3 linked regions of the Ovis aries genome follow. The protein of the gene in region 2 purifies or fractionates together with the protein of the main gene of each other region. This does not show direct contact. Links are inferred from orthologs where the notes say so. Each region holds a gene or a part of one and is shown on either strand. Other genes may lie near its edges.

Region 1 (6,567 bases), on a different chromosome or scaffold from region 2:
CCAAGGCCAGGAAGTCCGAGTCTGCGGTCAGGCAGAGGCTCTGCAGGCAGACACGGGGAGTTCAGCCAGGTTGGGGGAAGGGCATGGATGCCAACCCTGCTCTGCCTGTTGCCCTTAACATCCCCTCAAGGTCTAGCCTGGACACTTGTGGCCTTTCTGTGAGGCCAAGTTAAAAACAACACAAACACAAACCCATAATCCCTCCCTTGCTCTGTGGGGGGGCCTGGGGGGCCTGAGAGAGCCACATTCCACTCCCTGGTACCTGGGTGCCTGGTAGCCCAGCCCCGGTGACAGTGACCTCCAGGCCAGGCCCTGGGTACAACACCAGCAGCGCCAGCTCTGGGGGGCTGGCTCCTCCAGGTGGAGGCTCCTGGAACCTCAGCAAGGGTGTCGGCTCCCACGTCACTGCGGCCAGGACAAAGGAAGAAGGGAGGCACCTGAGCCACCGAAGCCTGAGCACCTCCCCTAAGCCTGTCCCCTCCATAGGAGACCCCACGCCAACCAAAGCCTGGGGGAACCTGGTGAGAGGTTTGACGCTGGCTCCTGGCTTCTCTGGGACAGGAGTGGCCTAGAAGTGATGGATAGGGTGGGCAGTGGGGCTGCCACCTGTGTTTCCCCAGCCCTTGGGGGCTCTAGGCCTGGAGAGCTCCTGGGGGAGTCCTGGTAGTGGGTCTGAGGACAGCGATCCCTTGGAACAGGAACCTCTTGCTACCCAGTGTGGAGGGAGAGGCACTCCTCTGCTGGACCATCAGGCTGCACTGACCTGCCTCCCTCCTCCATCCCCCACTGTGTAGCTCCCAGGTAGGTGAACAAGGTGTTAGCCCCCACATCCCCCTCTGCCAGGCACTGCATGGGGAGAGGGGTGGCTGGGAGCTGGAGAACTTCTGGCCCCAAACAAGCAAAGATACAGTGACCCACCTCTCTGGCCATTAGCCTCCACTTCCTGAGACTGGGGAGGGGTCTGGGCTGGGGGCTCTGCAGTCCTCTGCTCTTGGGAGGAGGGCACTAGAGCCTGGCCTCCCACCCCAGCCCCGACACAACACATACCTTCCTCCAGGTGCAGGACCACCAGCCACCGACCCCCGGGCTCCCCCAGCCATGCCTGCAGCCGCTGCAGGTGGGGCAGCACAGGCTGCCCGTCACCAGCGGGGCACACAGCGAAGGTGGTCAAGTCACTCAGGCCCCAGTGGGTGCGCCGCACAGCCTCCAGGAAGGCCTGCTCATAGCCGCTCAGGGACCCCACCACCCGCAGGGGGGCCCTGCTCCCGTTGCCACTCCCATGCAGGGTCACCAGGCACAGGGGGTCCTGAGGGCTGCCTGGCAGCCAGAGACTGGGGAGTGGCCAGTCCCAGCCTTGCTGAAAGATGAGTGTCCCGCTGCCTGTGGCCTGCTCCCTGGGCGAGGCTGAGGTATTGGAGACCTCTTCCCTGGGGGTCCCTGGCCTCAGCAGAGCCCCCATGGCCGACAGCACCAGGGCCAGAGAGAGAGATGGACCGGGCATCCTGGGAGCTTCCAGGGGCTGCGCTGCCCTACTTTATAAGGGGAGCAGGGCTGTTTGTGGTACAGGGCAGTCCCTATCTCCTCCTGGGACATGACCTTGGAGACTGGTGCCTGCTGCGAGCCTGGGAGGCCTGTGGCCTTCTCAAAGCCCCCTCTGTTCCAACCTGCCTGTCTATCTCCTGAGCAGTGATACAGTGTGTGTGGCCTGTGACCCATTTGTCAGACTGTCCTTGACAAATCTTTCCCCTCCCCAGAGCAGGAATGTGAGCAGGAGTGCATGCCCCAGACAGTCAGACTATCAACAACCTGGGGGTGTTGGAGGGCAAGGTGTGGAGCCCCTGCCCCAGGAGGATTCAGGTGCCAGCCCCAAGGGGGATGACGCTTCACATCGGGTAGGCAGGTCTGTCCCCCAGTGACCCCACGTGCTCGCTCACCCTACCTCTGAGGCCCACAGAGACCCCCAAGGAGAGTGAGCAGCCTTCTTCGCTCTGCTGTCTTCCCAGAGAACCACCCCACATTCTGCTGGCCCACAGGGTCTGTCCTTGCAGAGACAGCAGGGGCCACCCCCTGTGGTCCAGGTGGGACCCTGACACCCCCTATGGTGGTGGAAAGCAGTCACGTGTGTTCACCCACAGCAAGCTGACCGCCCACAGGTTAACACAGCAGTCCAGTTCAGGGTCAGCAGACTCTTTAATGAGCTCTGAGGACACCCAGCCCAGTACAAAAGAACTCTACTCTGAGGGCGAAACCCAGGAAAACCAAACCAGACTTGCTAGGATGGGGGTGGCTTTTCAGTTGGTGGGGGGAGGGGGAGGAATGTTCCCAGGGCCTTCGGAGGGCAGTGGAGGCCTCAGCATCGGGGGCATGGGCGTTGGGGGGTGCACCCCAGGATTTGAGGGGTGCACCCCAGGTGGCTGAGGATGGACCCCAGGAGCCGGAGGATGGACCCCAGGAGGAGGGGGGTGGACCCCAGGAGGCTGGGGGTGGATCCCAGGGGCTGGTGGGTGGACCCCAGGAGCTGGTGGGTGGACCCCTGGAGCCTGGGGGTGAACGGCAGGAGTCGGGTGCACCCCCGGAGCCTGGGGGTGAACTGCAGGAGCTGGTGGGTGCACCACTGGTGCCTGGGGGTGAACACCAGCAGATGGGGGAGGATGGACCCCTGGGGCTGGAGGGTGGACTCCCGGAGCAGGAGGGTGGACTCCTGGGGCTGGAGGGTGGACCCCTGGAGCAGGGGGGTGGACCCCAGATGCTGGTGGGTGAACCACTGGTGCCGGGGGGTGGACCCCAGGAGCTGGGGGATGGACCCCAGGAGCAGGGGGATGCACCCCAGAGGCTGGTGGGTGGACCACCGGTGCTGGTGGGTGGACCCCAGGAGCCGGTGGGGGCAGCTGAGGAGGGCCTGGGGGCCCTGAGGGTGCAGGCCCACTGGGCGGCATCGGTGGCAGGGGCAGGCCTCCTGGTGGGGGCGGAGGCAGCGACTCTGGTAGTGGCGGGCGAGGGGGCAGGCCGTTCATCAGTGGGGGTGGGGGCCGTTTCACCCCAGGAGGCCCAGCAGGAAGGCTCGGTGGGGCTGGTGGCTTCTCCATCTTGAAGTGGAACTGGAGGAAAAACTGGACAGACAGGAAAAACTGAGTAGGGTCCCAGAGGCCTTGGGGTGGGAGAAGGATGGGGAACTGCATGGACATGGACTGACTCACTTGCTTGGTTTCCCGGTTCCAGTGAGTCCAGAACTTGCCTTCAGCCTTGTCTATTTCCCTGCTTGGCACCTGTGCGGGGTAGAGGGGCAGACAGGCCCTCAGGACCATGAAATGGCCTGGCCCAGGAGGCCCTTCTATGAGGGAACAGGGTCTGACGTGGGGGTGACAGCTGGCATTCTTGCTCCACTGCTTAGCAGCCCTGCCACCCAGGGAAGCTGCAACCTACCCTGTCTCGTTAACATGTATCTGAGAATTGGACCAGGTCAGAGTCCTGCACAGCCTGGTAACAGGGCCACCTCACTGCTAGGGCCATGCCAGGGTCTGATTCACGGTGGACACCCAGCCCCTGCCCTCACTCTGCATCGTCTTCTGACAACCCTCAGGAGGCAAGGGCCCAGAGGGGGCGCCTGGTGTGGGCTGGGGCCAGCTGCTTGGATGGAGCAGACCCTGCAGGACCCTCCGGGGTCCCAGCAAACTACCTTGAAGGCGATGGTCTCATAGGGCTCAGCGGCCATGAGTAGGTACTGCCAGCGCCGGTCCGGGGGCTCGATCCTCTGCTCGTAGGCAGACATGAAGCGGTGTCGGGGCATGATGCCCTCGGCAATCTCAGGGTAGTCGATCTGCAGGGACACGGCCAGTGACAGCACTGCCTCTCAGGGGCCCCTCCCCTCAGGACAAAGGGTTCCCGGCCTTTGCTCACCTGGAAAAGGAGGCTCTGCTGGCCCATCTCTGTATCTCTCTGCTTGGTTACTGCAACACAGGAGGATGTCAGGTCCAGTAACGGGGTCCTAGGACTGGCCTAATGTCACCCACGAATGGGAGAGCTGGCTTGGCAAGTGGGGGGAGGTCACCCTGCTGGGCAACTAGCAGTCATTGGCCCAAGGGTGGGAGGGCTGTGCCCCAGGTGCCACCTGCCTGATATCACTTGGGTGGGGGCAGAGGGTGGGCTCCCCACTGCCCACCCTCCTCCACCAGACCTTCTGGGAGCGGGTGCCCATCACAGTCTAGCTCTGTGGCTTTGGGCTGCTCTCCACACAGCTCCGGGGCCCTTCATATGCGCCCTCAGGCACTTAGTGTCTCCCTGACACAGCCAGGAAGAGGCCAGATGACCCAGACTGACCAAAAGGCCTGTGGTGGCCTCCCTGGGGGTAGTGCCATCCTCGCCCTGGCTCACCAAGCTGGACCACTCCAGGGCCTTCCCAAGCCATGTCTTGTCTGAAACGCCAGTCATACACAGGGTGTGCCCACTTCAGCAAGAACACCTGCAAGGAGGCCTGCCTTCCCCTCCTCCCTGGCAACCCGATCCTCTGCAGCTGCTGGCCCAGGTAAGCCTCCTCTTTCCTTTACTCTCTCTCCATGTGAAAAGGCACCAGCACCCAGTTCTAAGGTCAGAGGAAAGGACTACACCAGGGCCTGCAGTCCCCTCCCACCCTCGCACCCACCTCTGCTAGGAGTATAAAGAGCAGAGGAGACACTAAGGCCCCCGCCCTCAGGGCAGGAAGCCTCTAATGGAAGCTGAGGCCACTGGTGAAGCTGGAGGTGGGTGAGGGACTGCCCACCCAGGGCATCGACAATTACCTTTGTAGCCTGGGCGGCCGATCTTCACAAACTTCTTCACTTCTACCTTGACCTTCTCCGGTGCTGGCTGGGCGGGGGCCTCCTTGGCCTCCTTGGCTGCTCGCCGGGCCCTGCAGGTGGGACGGACACAGTGTTGAGGCCCCTCCTCACAGGCCATCAAGGCCACAGCCCCAGGCGCCAGGAGCGCCCATCCCCGGCCGACCTTGGAGATGTGAGGTGAGGGGGACAGCAGGCATGGGAAGGGGTGCCAGGTACTTACAAGTTGGTCTGATGTTTCTTCCCCTGGGTGTGCGCGAGGTAACTCCCCTGGAACATGAGAGGAACATGCAATTGAGGGCACAGTGAGGGAGTGGTGCCCGGTGTCCCACCCGGGCCCGCCTCCATCCACAGGGCTCAGTGCTGACGGGCACCCGGTGGCTACTGAACACATGAGCTCTCGTGGATCTGCACACAGGGGGACGAGATGCTCAAAAGCCAGAGATGAGAGTCTCGGGTCGGGGGGACACAGCAGTCTTGTGGCTGCCAGGATGTGGGTGGGGCCAGTGGATATTGCTGGGCAGTGGTGGGGACACCTGGAATAAACATGCCCTTTGATTCCACCTCAATAATGTCCCAAGAAGAAAACATGTGTATCAGCAGTTTCCAACTGGAGGCTTTTCTGACCTCCAGGGACTCTATGTCCAGGATGGTCCCCCAAAGAGAAGGGGGAGCCTCAAAACCGCTGGGAGATGCTCCCATACGAGACTATTCAGCTCAGTGCAGCTGTCTGGAGCTGCGAACCATCTGGACAGAAAGTGCGCCCTCCTTACACAGGAAAGGACAGAGAGGACCTGCTTATGGCGAAGGACAGGAACCCAATGCAAGCAAGCATCCGACTGACACTTGCTTAAAGACTCAAACTAGAAGCCATGCCTTCCAGACCTCTCGCCCCACGTGGACATCCTGGACATCCCCACATGTACAGATGCACATCTGTGATGTCGGAGCCACTGATGTTACAGGAAACTGACAGATGGAGGTAGGGACCCCACGGTGGCTGTCCCAGTGCCGTGCAGGGCGGAGATGGCACAGCGGGGCTCTAAAGCCAGTACCTCCCTGGGAAAAACGCACCTCATTGTTATGTAGCGTCAGGCACAGCTTGCACTCATAGGAGCCCAGATGGTTCTTCATGAAGTAGGGGTCCTGCAGAAGAAACACATGTGTCAGGCAGTGGGGGAGACGCTCAGGGATGGAGGACAAGCTGGAGCCCCAAGCCAGCACCACCGCCCCTGGGATCCCACAGGGTCCACTGCACGGGGTTAGGGCTGGGGCTGACCGCCCGCCTCTGCAGCAAGCCCCGGAGAGGGCTCCCTTGAAAGCCCCCAGCCCCACATTAGTGGTGGCCTGGGATCTAGGAAGAGGCAGAGCCGAAGGTGCACTGCTGATCCTCCAACTCCCCAGCCGGGACAGGGCTCCTCGTGCTGCAGTACAAGCTGGGCGCGGGCAGAGGAGAGAAGCAGGCAGGCCAACCCCAGGCCTGGGGAGACCATGGTCTGGAGGGCGCTGAGCTGCTGCTTTAGGGTGGGCAGGTGGGCGCACACCTTATTGATGTCAATGGTTTCTAGGGCCAGCTGTCGCAGGCGCTCCCGGCGGTCCCGGTTGCTCTCAGAGGAGGAGGCCACACCCCCGCTCCCGGTCTTGCCCCCGGGGCGATGCTGGAAGTCCATGGTGAGACCCTGGGCACTCTGTCAGACCAGGGGAGAAACCTGCGGAGGCCAAGGGGCAGCTGGTGAGACTACATGTGAGATCTCAC
Region 2 (7,451 bases):
TAAATTGATTATTTTTGTGATTATCATAGACTGCCTGGGGAGCTAGTCAACTAGCTAGCCTGGATTTTACTAAACTCACTTCTTTAAAGTGAAAAAAGAAAACAAATTAGGATTTCAGAAGACTGATTTGCTGCCTATTGAGTAACTTTATATGAAAGATAGTGTGTTAAGAGATAAACATAGACGTCTTACTGGCAAAATGAAAGTCACTGGAAAAAATGCAGAAAAAGGATTCTGCATAAATGAAACTGCAAACAAATTATTAACCAGAGTAAGGATATTCCATAAAAGCAACACAAAAAAATAAAGGAGACTACAAACTCGGTCATCAGTCTGTGAAGACTTTTCAGCAAATATAAAAGATAGAATTAAATACCAATGGCCCAAGGCATATCCCAGAAAGCAAGGAAGGAAAAGGATTTTTTAAAAAACAAAAACCTATGACAAAATAGAAACTGTAGCTATAGTCAATGGAGATAACAATTACTAGATGGAAGCAGATAGCAAAATATTTTTCAGAATTTTCTCTAATATTAAACGATGTTTTCCATCTTTGAGTAGTTTTCAGTTCAAAAACAAACCTGTATCTAGTAACCAAAATGACTGCTTTTTTTCCATGAAAGGAAAAGAATTTGAGGTCAAGATTGGTCGGGAAAAACATTCTCTGTTATTGCTAACTGAAGTGTTAGAACGTGCACTTCTAAATCTGTGCCATCTGATATGGTAGCCACATATGGTTACCTAAAATTAAAAATTCAGTTTTTCAGCCATCCTAGTCTTATTCCAAGTATTTGACAGCCCCATGTACCTAGCAGCTATAATATTAAATAGCAGATATAGAGTACTTCCATCACCACAGAAAGTTCTATTGGACAATGTCTTTCAAAATGGTTATTTAAAAAAGAATATTTTACAGAATGACCTCCAGGTCATTATTAACTGAACCCTAAGTAAGCCATTTACCTGGTTACTACAATGCCTACAGCAATGGTCTCCCTCCCTACAGTACTTCCACTATAGATCATGTCCTAACACAATTCTGCCCAGACTCTGAAATATATTCCAGAAATACTAAAATACCAAGACTCATAATAATGCTGTCTTCACTCCCAACTCCCTGCTCCACCAGTTCCACATATACCCCTCCTTCTTACTGCCAATTAAATATAGGAAGCAATGTATACAACATTGACACAATGTTTCACTTTCTTCAAAGGAAAAAAGGACTGCTTTTAAGTTGGTTTTTAATGAGAGAGAGAGAGAGAGAGAGAGAGAGAGAGAGAGAGAGAGAGATGGGGGTAGGTCAGGCTCTCTAAGACAAGCAGAAAGTTGGCCTGAGATGGGAGAAACTGCTCCCAAAACATCTTTTTCTTACTGACTAGCTCCCTGAAATCCACTGACCTGACTGCTACATACTGAAGAGAGGCTTTGGTTTCTGTTTTTTTGTTTGTTTTTAAATAACATACTATTGCAACTTCACGCACATCTATCCTAAATCCAGAAATTGAACCTAAAAATATTCAACTCATTTAAATTATGCCCAGGTAGGCTTTTAGAATTGTGAATCTGGACCCCATTTCAAATAAGTTTTGCTTGTTTGCAGTTCTACTATCCCTAAAATATTGATCATTTTAATTGGCAAGAGGCTGATATAAACAGAGAGAAATGATATGTAGTATGAAGATGATTCGAGTTGTTTTGAATCAGTGAAGATAAGTCATCTAATCAAAACATCTTTTAAAACTCTCCAAAAAATCAGATTCAGAATTAGATGAAAAGCCATAGATATTTACAAATATTATATATGGTGTTTTTATTAATCAACCTAGGGTTGTGAGAAATAATAGATATTTACTTCTATGGCTTTATGTTTGTCTTGAAACCCCAGAGGAAGTTTTAAAAAGCCGGTTTCATACTTACTGCTCTTCCAGGACAAAAGGAACACATTAAATCCAGGTCGTCTTTTTACATAGATTCGGTTTAATTTCAAGTTGCTAATAAGTGTCAATAATTACATATAAGACCTAGCCTTAAGTTCAAACATTATGTAACATTTATGCAGAAAACAAACATCTCTTTAGGCATTTTTATAATGTGTTTTCAACACAGGCACTAGAGCTAGCTTTGTTACACTTACACACACACACAGGATCTCTGGCATGGGTGCTCTATTTCATTTTCAAAGAAATCTTGTGGCACTGAAAAGAATCTGATATAATCTGATTAAGCTATATTTTCCTCTTTTAATTTTAGTTACCCTTTGAAGTAAAATTACTTTTCCAAGTCTTTACAAACAGAAACATTATCCACTGTCAAGTTATATGTACCTCTTTTTCTAGAGTGATAGTGACTTATTAGCTCTTACTTTTATTTTTTTTAATTTTTTTATTTTTTTAGCTCTTACTTTTAAAAATTATAAGAGCATATAAGGATGACACAACAAAGAACAATGTTTCAGCTGTTTTGATGTACACAAACTGAGGAAGCAACCCTTCTCTTAGAAGCCAAGTATGCCTCTGTGGGTGCACACATGTACACACAAGGGGTGTGAAGGGGAGAAACACTCCCTCCAAAGGTATTATGGGTACCCATAGATTCTAGGCAATAAGCCACTTATAAGCCACAGAAATACTCTTTTCAAGCAATGAAGCTATTATGTATTGCCCCATACTTACTTGTAAATCTTTCTTTAATTTTAGTAAATCTTCATTTTCTCCATTTCCAGACAGCGCAGCCTCAACTTGCTGGAGTTGAGCTTTGTAGCTTGCCAGCTGCTTTGCTAGATCCTCTGACATCTGGTGAAAATAAAGAATAAAGTCATGAAAACAGAACCAAAAAAACAAAACATAAGAGAAACATTTTTTTCCTGTCGGCCTGAATTAACCCTTACCCATTTTGTTCCCAACTCATCATAATTCACTGCAGCATAATTTATTACTACTAGTATTCTGAAGATTATAAACATGTAAGATACATTCCATATAGAAACAGAAAACGAGATAAGAGGAAAAGGGAGAATAATTTCTAATTTTCTTTAAACTATTAACAGGGAAGAGACATTGTGTTAGGCTCAAGGAACAGGACTGTTATATCACATCACCAAAAATTAAAATAGAAGGCACTAAACTGTTGAAAGATTTGAGGCTTCCAATTTTTAAGGGCTAAAAAGTACTTCGAAAGCCAAATATAAATGGCTTTTGGATTAACTACGACTTTCTCCACAAGAGTTATAATGCGTGTGTTCAGAAACTTCTCCACACTGCAAAAATCTTTTCACGCAGTCACTTAAAATACTGCCAATGTATTTTTCTGCAGTAAAAGAAACATCACAGATGCTCTCCAATTTAGGCAATCTAAACTACGGGCCTTTCACTAAATCCAGCTCGTACTTCTCCTGAAAATAAGGCCGGAGAGAATTCTTTCTCGCTTTATTAGCAAACGTACAGGGTTTCCGAGACCGGTCTGTGTAACAAATCCCGGCCAACCGCAGCCCAGAACCTGGAAGTACTTCAAAAGGGTTGGTGCAAGCCAGGCTGCTTCCCTTCAGTCACCCTACACCTCAAAGCCCGCCACAACTAGCTCGACCATCTCAGACCTCGAAATTCCAACAACTTCCAAGGAAACCGAAAACAAGAACGGAGCCGAGGCCCCAGGAACCGGAGCCCCACCCGCAAACAGGCTCCGCACAGAAGGGCCGAGGGCGTCCTTAAGATGCCTCCCGCGCCCAGCCCAACCCCGTTCAGGGACGCTTGGGCTCAACTCTGCGTGGAAGAGGAGGCCGGCGCCCGCGCGTCTCCACTGCGGCCTCGGCCTCTGGCCTCCGGTTCAACTCGTGAGAGGTCGAGGCCCAGCGAGGCCTCACTGTCTCCCTCATCGCGTTACCTTGTGTGGGGTTGGGAGAGTGGCGGCGGGAAGGGGTAGGGGGCAAATGAGCCCAGCGGTGGCAGCAACAGCAACAGCAGCAGCAACAAAACAGTCCGCGTCGACAACTAGTTAACCCGGGCTAGAAATTCGGGTCTCAGCCGGGAGTGAACTGGGGAGAACCAAAGCCGGGGACTGGAAAGAGGTATAGAAGAGGCGGGTGAAGTCTCGCGAGAGGTTAAAACTCCTCGCGAGATGTCTCTCGATTCACGTGATTCCTAGTGCCCTCTAAGCCGCCGGTCCTTAATCACGTCAGGGACGTGAAGTGGACCGCGCCGGGGTCGGGGACGGGGAGCGGGGAGGACGAGGTGGGAGGGGGGAAAGGGCGGATAGGTAGGAAATGACGTACTGGGATGCGCCAGGCGCCGGATGTAGGTTCGTCTTCTGTTAGTTCCGGCTCGGACTGGGGAGTCCGTTTGTTATTTTAGGTCTGGGCTCAGTCCGGCGGATCCTGAGGTTCTCAGGGTGCTGGGTGGCAGGTTTAATACAGAATTCTTCCTAGAGGCTGGTTCTCAGAATTTGGTCCCAGCACCATCAGCATTGCCTGGTGTTTATTTTTTACAGTAATTTATAATTTATTGCAAAAATAATACACTATAAATACATACTTTCAACACCCACCGCAGACCTTTGAATCAGAAACATTGAAGATGGGCGCAGCAGCCTATTTCAGTAAGCCTTGTAGGGGATACCAATGTCCGCTCGAGTGTGAGAACCACTGCTTCATATTAATAGAATAGTAAAAGTCCTAATGGCATCAGAAAGCTGATTAGATTGTGGCAGAACCTATTGGACAGTAGATTAGATTATTTAAAACCTATTTTGACTTTTCGAGGGCGGTTACCCAGGCTGTGGACCGCCCCAGGAGCAGGAGCTGTGTATCCTCCCCTTTTCCGTTTACCGTTGTAAACAAAGGCCTTTCCTACCATTAAAAAATATATATATATACCTTTTATAAGCACTTCCTGGTTTTAATTAGGTTATATAATGCCACCCGCAAGGGAACAGTCTCCAAGTTATAATCTTGAATATAAGCAGATTGTGTAAGCACTTAATGTTTAAAAAGAGATGTGTTTTAAGTGTAATAATATATACTATTTAGGGACGGATATACAAATCTATCTAGAGATTTGCAGTGGAACCCAAATGTTTTCACTGATTATCCTTCCTACTTTTAATCTTTCCCCCATACGCATGTAGTTTTCTCCAATTTAAAAAAAAAAAAAAAACTACAACAACTAAAAAGACCTGAGACACGAAGAGGCTCTATGAATGCCAGGAAAGAAAATTCCCTGTTTTGTTTTGTACAAACGCACACATCCCTCATTGAGTCAGAGAACCTGTAGAGATGAAACTAGGTCAGGTTTGTGGCAGTCAACTTGTAAGAACTGAAACTGCTGCAGAGGGCAGCCACCTGTAGCTGGAATGAAGAGGGAAGACAAACCAGAGGGGATGCCCTTTATTAAAAATATGTTAAAAACACGATGTAGTTTTTGACAGTTGCTCTTATTTTAATTGTATATTTTAAGAACTAACGCCAGGAGGATCTTCCTTGAAAATAAATTTTACAGCTGTGTAAGTTTGCCACATAAGAACTCTTCATGAACCCCTAGATCAGAGAATAGGAAAATATGTATAAGCTCCAGTAAAGTTTTTTGATAACTTTTTGTTTTTAGGATTGCCTTTAATCTCTCCTTCTGTGCAACATAGAATATATTTGGAAAGAAAAGTTATATTGAATGTTATTAGTTCTCACAAAGAGAGAACAGTTGTGTGTGCCAGGCAGCATTATAAACTACATGTATTCATTTATTTTTCACTATGATTTGGTGTATTTTTAAAGACAAAACTGAAGCAAGTATAAGCTTTGACTAAGCCTGCTACTTCAAATAGGTGTTCTGACTTACCACCTCCTTTGAAGTGTCAAAATCCTCTTTCAGTGTCGGATTTTTCTTAAAACATTCTGACTCAAAATTTAATCATGTTTATTTTTCAAAAACAACAGTATCAAAAACCTTTAGTTCTTTAAACCTGGTATTTATTTTATTGAACTCAGTAAATAAAGTTTAAAGATGCCACAGCTATTTCCTTTCACTCCTAAAGAAAATTAAAGCATAGCCATGCCTTTGGAATGCACTAACTCTTTGCAGAGCGTAAACCTATGCGCTAAATTCATATATTTATACATGTTGGTTAAATGGGAGGTTGCATTCTTTAGCTTAGCTTTTGTTATATCCCTTCACTGAAGTAGCCCCAAATTTTCCTACATTTTTGCTGTCTATACAGATGCCTAATGTGATGAGAGATGTGCACATAGTAATAATAACTATACCCTTTGCCCTTTTTAATCATAAGATGTGTTTTGAATGTTTACATGGGGATTTGTCTCAGGGCAAGCTACTGGCTTTTTCTGCCTATTGAGTAGTTTTGGGGGTACAATGCATTCAGAACATATTCAGAATATGTTCTGAGGGTAAAAAGAAGAGAACCAAAAAAAGTCTCAAACATCACAGATTTATTGCTAATAGTAGTATTGGTAAGGTAAGATAATTTTAAAACTTTTATGTCTACTCTAGATAAAGTGAATAATTAGTAATTTTGTTAGTTAAAACTCTAATAAGAGGGAACAAATATTAAAGAAAATTCTTTTGTGAAAAGTCCTCTGGTGTTAAATTTGAAATTTGAATATATATATATTTATATATCTTAGAGGTAATGTTATCCTAGTGGAGTGTGCCCATATGTTGATATCTAAATACCATTCCCCATGAAAGAAACAGTGTTTCTTGGAGAAATGATGGAGTTAGGGTCTCAGGCCAGAAAAGTACAACAGTACAAACGTGAGCCTGAAACATCTTGCCATAAAACAAGAAAATGCCCCCAAATTCTTAGGATCAAGTCAAAAACTAACAGAACCCAGCTTGAGGGAACTGCATTGGCCAAAGATGAGTCAGTCTTGACATTAAAAGAATAATGACTATGATCAATTATCAAATCATTCAGTAAGTTCAGTTCAGTCGCTAAGTTGTGTTGGACTCTTTGCAACCTCATGGACTGGAGCATGCCAGGCCTCCACGTGCATCAGCAACTCCCGGAGTTTACTCAAACTCATTTCCATTGACTCGGTGATGCCATCTAACAATCTGATCCTCTGTCATCCCCTTCTCCCACCTTCAATCTTTCCCAGCATCAGGGTCTTTTCAAATGTGTCAGTTCTTTGCATCAGGTGGCCGAAGTTTTGGAGTTTCAGCTTCAGCATCAGTCCTTCCAGTGAATTTTCAGGACTAATACCCTTTAGGATGGACTAGTTGGATCTCCTTGCTGTCCAAGGGACTCTCAAGAGTCTTCTCCAACACCATAGTTCAAAAGCATCAACTCTTCGGCGCTCAGCTTTCTTTATACTCCAACTCCACATCCATACGTGACTACTGGAAAAACCATAGCTTTAACTAGATGGACCTTTGTTGGCAAAATAATGTCTCTGCTTTTTAATATGCTGTCTAGGTTGGTCATAACTTTTCTTCTAAAGA
Region 3 (6,962 bases), on a different chromosome or scaffold from region 2:
AATTATGTGCTAGAAATCTTTATTATATATTTTCATTCCTGGGGACAAACATGAATTTTTTCTGAAATCTCTGGGAGAATTGGACCATCTAGTTTTAGTTGGTGTGTTTTTTTTTTTCCTTTTTGCTCTGCTCTTAAAGGCATTTGATTCTCACTCATACATGTTTATAAGGGGCCACCCAGCACCTGGTACACACACACCTCGTCTTACTGCACTTTGCTTTCTTGCACTTCTCAGATGGTGCAGTTTTGTGTTGTTTTTTTTTTAACAAATGCAGCAACTCCCTGCATCAGGCAAGTCTACTATTGCCAGTTTTTATTTTGTTACGGTGGTCTTTGATTTTTATTACTACCAAGACTCAGATGGTGGTTAGCATTTTTTCGCAATAAAGTTTTTTAACTAAGACATGTGTGTTGTCTTTTTAGACATAATGGGATTGTGCACTTAATAGACTACAGTATAGTGTAAACATAACTTTTGTATGCACTGGGAAACCAGGAAGAATTGTGGGACTTGTTTCATTGCGATAATTGTTTTACTGCAGTGGTCTGGAACTGAACCTGCAATATCTCCAAGGTATGCCTGTAATTTAGATGACTCCCTTGCCTTTGTTCTAATCCTGGGTCTTAATAAACATCGTATTGTTTTTCCAGAAAGAGACAAGCAGTGCCCTGACCCATGCCGGAGCCCATCTTGACCTCTCTGCATTCTCCTCCTGGGAGGTATGTTTTCTTTAGCCTGTGCTGGTCTTGCCTGTTCACGCCTCAGAGGGGTCACTTGATCTCCTAACGCTACAGACTTATTACGGTAAGACACAAATCCTTGAGATAAGCATCTACGAAGAATATAGAAAGATGAAAAAAAAAGCTTATCCAATTTCTTTGAACACTGTTAACTGAAAATTAACCATCTTAAGCTATAGTGGAGGTAGTGGAACACAGCCAGTATGGTTACGGATGAACTTAATCACAGAGTCGGTCCTTTGGAGAGTTGGAGCATCCTGCTAGGAGACTGGCTATGGAATGTGTGGTCTTGCCACTGTTTTAGGAACACCCACACACCAGCCTGCAAACCTAAGTTTGAGCATTTGTTGCTTCTCCAAGTCTATTTATATAAAATTGTAACTTGTTTCTTTCATATAGGAGTTGGCCTCCCTGGGTCTGGACAGATTAAAATCTGCACTCCTAGCTTTAGGCCTGAAGTGTGGCGGGTAAGAGACTGATTTTTCTATCAGAACTGTCTCGTTTACTTTGAGTTTCACAATCTTCTCCACACTGCAAAGAGAAGCAAGCCTAGATGGTAAAGTAATCCTGAAATCCTTTGCCCCTGTGTCTCCTTAGGACCCTAGAAGAGCGAGCCCAGAGGCTATTCAGCACCAAAGGAAAGTCCCTTGAGTCACTCGACACCTCCCTGTTTGCCAAAAATCCCAAGACAAAGGGCACCAAGCGGTAAGTGGCGGGGAGGGGGCACCTCTGCTTACATTTTAAGCTTTTTATTCCCGTGCAGAATTCATACCACATCGGAAATTTTAAAGCCCATTTTATCACCGCTATTGATCCATCCGGCTCCAGTCTGCTCTTTTTCTCTGCTAATGGCAGACAGTTCTCTCATCGTTACTATAAACCAAGGACAGTCTGTACTCAGGTGTCTGAGAGTGGGTGACGTCTCTAAAGTTGAAACTGTACCCCGGGTATCTTTTGTTACCTCTGTAGGTTATAGAGGGTAAGTTGGTTCAAAAGTGTTCGTCTAAGTGCATTTTTGCTAGTAACAGTTGAATCTGTTCCTGAGCCACATGCTTGTACAGGGTATTTTTTTTATATGTGATTTTGCTAATTCTCAAAACAAGCTTGAAAAGTATTTGTTATCCTCATCTTTGACAGATAAGGACTTAGAAAAGTTATACCTGTTATCTCACAGTTACTAAGTAGCAAGACTTGGGCCCAAGTCTGCCTCTTCCAGAGCTTGCCCTTCTGTACCACATTTCCTTTGTATAGGAATTTAAATACCTGGACATGCCTTTCACTCTCTAGAATGAGGTCAAAGAGGAAGCTTCTATGCATTCTAAGAAATAATCTCGAGAAAAATGCCTGGCAGTCCAGTGGTTTAGACTGCTCGCTTCCACTGTAGAGGGCTTGGATTTGATTCTTGGGAAGCTAAGATCCTATAAGCCACATAGCATGGCCAAAAATATTTTTTTAATTAAAAATAAATAAAGATAACAAGTCCTGAGCTGAACAGAACATTTGCTTTCACAACGTGATGTTTCTCTTGTGCTTGTAATTTTAGATGCTCCTATGGAATAAATATTCCCAGATATAGAGAACATGGCATTGGGTGAAAGAACCCTTAAGTGATACAGTTTGTTTCTTATTTCCAGAGACACTGAGAGGAACAAAGACATTGCTTTCCTTGAAGCCCAGATATACGAATATGTAGAGATTCTTGGGGTAAGTGACTCAGCTGAGGGCTGTAAATGCTCCAAGTTGTGGAAGTAAGAAGCTATGAACTTGTAGGATATTTTTTACGATTGCAAGAGAAAATGCATAGATCAAACTACTGTAGCCGAAAATTGTGTTCTCCCATGGTATTTAGCCCTTCACTGAGGTCCTGCTCTGTTGTTAGGGGTCTGTTGTTAGGTGACATTCCTAGGTTTGCTCAATCCCCTGAGGCTGGGTGGGAGAGTAGACTCCCCTCTCCATGTAGAATCCAGATTCTTTCCCTGAGCTCCAGAATAGAGCCAGGGGTGATCCAGGAAGCAGACACTCAAAAGGTGTGTAAGATGTGACTAGAGTCATCTGTTGGCTCCCTCTTTTACACCTGCTTTGGATAAAAGGAGGTTAGCCAGACGTTGGATACGTGGGATACTTATACTCTCCACAGGGAACTAGAACTGTGCGAGTGTGGGCAGCAGTCTGAGTTGCCAGTCCTCTGAAGACGACTGAGGCTAATCTTTGCCCCTGACATAGGTGTGCCCACAGCAGCAGGTCTTCATGAATGACTTTCTCTGAAAAGGCATAACTTACATGTTCACAGGGTTGGAGCAACTTACATGGTACTAGGTTTGGAGGTTAGTGGTGCAGAACTGGCTGTGAGCTGCTCCTTGAGTATTTTTTCAAGAAGAAGCTGAAGAGGGTTACAGGTACAAAAAGGCCTACCCAACCAAGATGCTTATCTTAGAGAAAGTTGGGGGAGGAGCAGGAGAAAATGATTCTCTTTCAGGGAAGAGAAGGTGGAAGATGGTCATTGTCTCTGGGAGTGCTGCAGAGAGGACCAGCCTTTCTGAGTGTCTGCTTTGTGCAGTTTTCAACTGCTCTCAGAGCCTTTTCCTTTCCAGATGCTCACATGGTGCTTTGAGTAGGTGGCTCTGGTTCAGATAGCTGGTCCACATGTCTTTGTCTCTTGCCCTTGTTTGATGACCACGTGTATAATAACTCATAAAACTAGAGTCATTGTTGGATCCCACTGTTACAACTCCTTTGGATGAAAGGGATTAGCTAGACATTGGATATGTGGGATACTTATACTCTCCACACTGAACTAGGACTGTGCTAGTGTGGGCCCTTGGACTGCAAGGAGGTTCAGCCAGTCCATCCTAAAGGAGATCAGTCCTAGGTGTTCATTGGAAGGACTGATGTTGAAGCTGAAACTCCAGTACTTTGGCCACCTCATGCGAAGAGCTGACTCATTTGAAAAAACCCTGATGCTGGGAGGGATTGGGGACAGGAGGAGAAGGGGACAACAGAGGATGAGATGGTTGGATGGCATCACCGACTTGATGTACATGGGTTTGGGTGGACTCCGGGAGATTGTGAGGGACAGGGAGGCCTGGCGTGCTGCAGTTCATGGGGTCGCAAAGAGTCAGACACGACTGAGCGACTGAACTGAACTGAGTGTGGACAGCAGACTGAGTCACCGGTCCTTTGAAGACAAATGCGAGGCTCATCTGTGCCCCTGACATAAGGTGTGCCCACAAGTCCTACCTTTGAGAGCATTTTGCTTTCCCCGCCAGGAGGTGGCACTATTCTCCTTGGAATTCCAGCCAGTTCCAGCCAAAATGAGTTCCAAAAGTTGATCTTGTTATGAATTGGTATTATTTTTACCATTGCTTCACCATTTACTGACACCTGTTGGTGTCCAAATATTATGCTAAATCTTTGAATGCAGTCGTGAATGTGACATAGCCTCTTATCCTTGAAAAGCCCAGTTTGTGACTGAGGGCTACAGATAACTGCAGTATAATGTGATGTTCACTGTAATACTTTGAGATTGGGTGTTCTAAGTATAAAGAGGGAGATTAAGATGTTCCAGGTGGAGGAAACAGCAAGTATGAAGGTAAAATTACTGTGAAAGGAAATAATGAGAAAACAAACCATTGTCCCTGGGTATGTCTGGTGAGGGATGGTGTAGTCAGAGAAAAATTTGGAAAGTTATTGTATGTTGAGAGGTTGGACCTTGTCCTTTAAGTAGCAGAAAGCAGATTAAAGTGTTTTTAAGCAAAGTGTGCCACGAGATTGGTTTTCTCCAGCAGATAAATCTGGGGACAGCATGGAAGCTAGACTGGAGTGAGGACAGACTCGGGGCAAGTTGGAACGTTGTCACCTTGGTGAGGGCAATAACAGTGGGAAAGAGAAAGGAAGACTGATTCAGGGAACGGTTTAGGGACAGAAGAGAAAAGACTTCTATTGTTCTGCGATTGTCTGTGGCCTCAGATGACTAACTAGGCAAGTGCTAGGTTTAACTTTTTCCGTTTTTTTTGTTTTGTTTTTACTTTTTCCTTTAAGATCAGGAAAGGTCTGCTGAAGAGGAATTCTGTTTGAAAGCAAGACTTTCCTTTTGTTGTGCAAGAAAGAAAACTTGATCCTTAAAAATGAAGGATCAACAAAGGTTATAGGAAAACAGGAAATTTCCCTTTTTGTTCTGCACTCTTCTCTCACCTCCCCTTTCATTCATGGCCCTGACATAGGAGCAGCGACATCTCACTCACGAAAACGTGCAACGCAAGCAGGCGAGGACTGGAGAAGAGCGGGAAGAGGAAGAGGAGGAGCAGATCAGTGAGAGTGAGAGCGAAGACGAAGAGAACGAGATCATTTACAACCCCAAAAACCTGCCCCTGGGCTGGGACGGCAAAGTCAGTCCTCCGCTGCCCTCTTTCCCCCTTCTCTCATTTTGGCAGCACATGCAGACACTGGTCTAATACTGTTTTTCTTTTGTCTCATTTCTTTTAGCCCATTCCTTACTGGTTGTACAAGCTTCATGGCCTAAATATCAACTATAACTGTGAGATTTGTGGAAACTATACCTACCGAGGTCCTAAGGCCTTCCAGCGGCACTTTGCTGTAAGAAATTTGGCGCTTCTCCTGGACATGGAAGCTTGAAACATGAGTCTTTTAGAGAAGAGGATAGGAGCAGCCTGAGAGGATCCCTAGCCTCCAGAGCTAGAGCGAATCAGAGGAGTGGACATAAAGTCCAGCATGTGGCATTTGGCTTCTGGCAGCAGTGCCAGCCTTGGGTTGCACCTGAAACGGTTTCTGGAGGCATTCCACTATTTGAACCATGTTCCGTTTTTTCTTGCTTGCCCTTCCTGCCTTTCTAACTCGTTGGTCATTTTTCTCTCTCCTGTTGCTGGTACTCAATACCAAAGAAAGGGCTGACCGCCTCCTTCTTTGGGTCTTAAATGGGCCTTTGCCTCTTGGGAAAAAAAAAAAAAAAGAGGATGACATTTATCAAGCTATTCTTGAGAGAAGGCATTATGTGGGTGGTACTCCAGTAAGTGAATTCAGCCTTGTTTTGTTTCTACCTTCAGTTCTCAGTACTTGGAGGGAAATTTTACAGAATAGAAGACATGCTAGATGTAGCCAAGAATGGAGAATGTGTGTGAATTCCTCTTTGTCTTCCTCAGATGTGCATATTACTGATTCTGGGGCCTTTTCTGCCGAACTCCAGTAGTCTCTAAGTCTTTCTCAGTACCACCTCCAGTGAATTGGAATTGGCATCCAGGGCCCATGCCATCTGCCATCCCTGAGCCATACTGTCATTGCATCAGCCCCCTCCTTGGTCTCTTTCATATCCTTGCTTGTACCTGATGAACAGTCTTCTCCTTTACTTCTAAAGATGACACTGACTTGCCATCAGTAATGCTTACACATGCTGGTGGGGGGGTTGCATAGGAGGGAAGTGATGAGTTAGAGTTGTGGTCTTGACACAGATTTTGTCTGGATCTAGGTTTCATAAACCTGCCCAGTGAGGCAGACATACGGTGCTGCTTTGAAGTAACTGCCTCTTGTCAGTCATAGCCAGTTGTCTACAGACAGGAACCTCAAAAGTTGAATACTGCCTTTCGGTGGAGCCTTTTGCAAAGGATTAGGGAAGGTTTTTGAGTAGGATGGGGTTAGTGCTGTGTGTCCAGTCAGTCCTATTTCATGCTGTCCTCTTGCTTCTCTCCTCCCAGGAATGGCGCCATGCTCATGGCATGAGGTGTCTGGGCATCCCAAATACTGCCCACTTTGCTAATGTGACACAGATTGAAGACGCGGTCTCCTGTAAGTAATTATTTATTTTTCCCGAGGCCAGGGCGACAGTTCACTGTCCCAGTATTGTCGTGTGTCCAGGCCTAAGGGCAGCAGGTTGTGGTACATACAGACTACTACAGTCCTATAGTTATTGCTTTCTCAGGGGATGGATTAGCCAGGAGTACTGATTCTTTCCCCCTTGAGAAGAGCTCTGTGCTGAGTATAAAACTGCTTTTAACTGGGTTCTGTGAACTGGGTATGCAAGATTTTGAGTGAATGAGTGTATGTGTATTTTCTGAATTGATTTTACTGTGTTAAGAACTGCAGATACAAAGGAAGAAATAAAAGTGATCTTGGTAAGCTTATTTCTGAGGTGACAGGGCAGATACACAGCAACACGGCAGCAAAATACCTCTCAGAGAAAAAGCCAAGCTCAGCGTGTGTCCAGGAATG

The links. Proteins that work in one complex are often made in the same cells at the same time.
Region 1: the proteins of SMNDC1 (region 2) and SF3A2 purify together in Homo sapiens (affinity purification with mass spectrometry; 4 studies listed by BioGRID and IntAct, with this or other methods). This does not show direct contact. The link is inferred for Ovis aries from reciprocal best matches to the Homo sapiens genes SMNDC1 and SF3A2.
Region 3: the proteins of SMNDC1 (region 2) and SF3A3 purify together in Homo sapiens (affinity purification with mass spectrometry; 3 studies listed by BioGRID and IntAct, with this or other methods). This does not show direct contact. The link is inferred for Ovis aries from reciprocal best matches to the Homo sapiens genes SMNDC1 and SF3A3.

What each region holds. Positions count from the first base shown.
Region 1 is NC_056058.1:19,187,775-19,194,341, reverse strand, and holds the end of SF3A2 (splicing factor 3A subunit 2), read right to left. Parts: intron 6,521-6,567; 5' UTR 6,482-6,520; coding exon 6,356-6,481; intron 5,958-6,355; coding exon 5,886-5,957; intron 5,082-5,885; coding exon 5,035-5,081; intron 4,886-5,034; coding exon 4,776-4,885; intron 3,948-4,775; coding exon 3,898-3,947; intron 3,818-3,897; coding exon 3,677-3,817; intron 3,267-3,676; coding exon 3,198-3,266; intron 3,111-3,197; coding exon 2,292-3,110; 3' UTR 2,172-2,291; downstream 1-2,171. Other genes in the region: AMH (muellerian-inhibiting factor precursor), read right to left, coding at 1-40, 263-405, 1,048-1,501. UniProt on the Homo sapiens protein: Component of the 17S U2 SnRNP complex of the spliceosome, a large ribonucleoprotein complex that removes introns from transcribed pre-mRNAs.
Region 2 is NC_056075.1:30,416,957-30,424,407, forward strand, and holds the start of SMNDC1 (survival of motor neuron-related-splicing factor 30), read right to left. Parts: upstream 4,092-7,451; 5' UTR 3,883-4,091; intron 2,796-3,882; coding exon 2,676-2,795; intron 1-2,675. UniProt on the Homo sapiens protein: Involved in spliceosome assembly.
Region 3 is NC_056054.1:12,721,056-12,728,017, reverse strand, and holds part of SF3A3 (splicing factor 3A subunit 3), read left to right. Parts: intron 1-653; coding exon 654-722; intron 723-1,142; coding exon 1,143-1,210; intron 1,211-1,340; coding exon 1,341-1,448; intron 1,449-2,377; coding exon 2,378-2,447; intron 2,448-4,963; coding exon 4,964-5,128; intron 5,129-5,225; coding exon 5,226-5,336; intron 5,337-6,448; coding exon 6,449-6,539; intron 6,540-6,962. UniProt on the Homo sapiens protein: Component of the 17S U2 SnRNP complex of the spliceosome, a large ribonucleoprotein complex that removes introns from transcribed pre-mRNAs.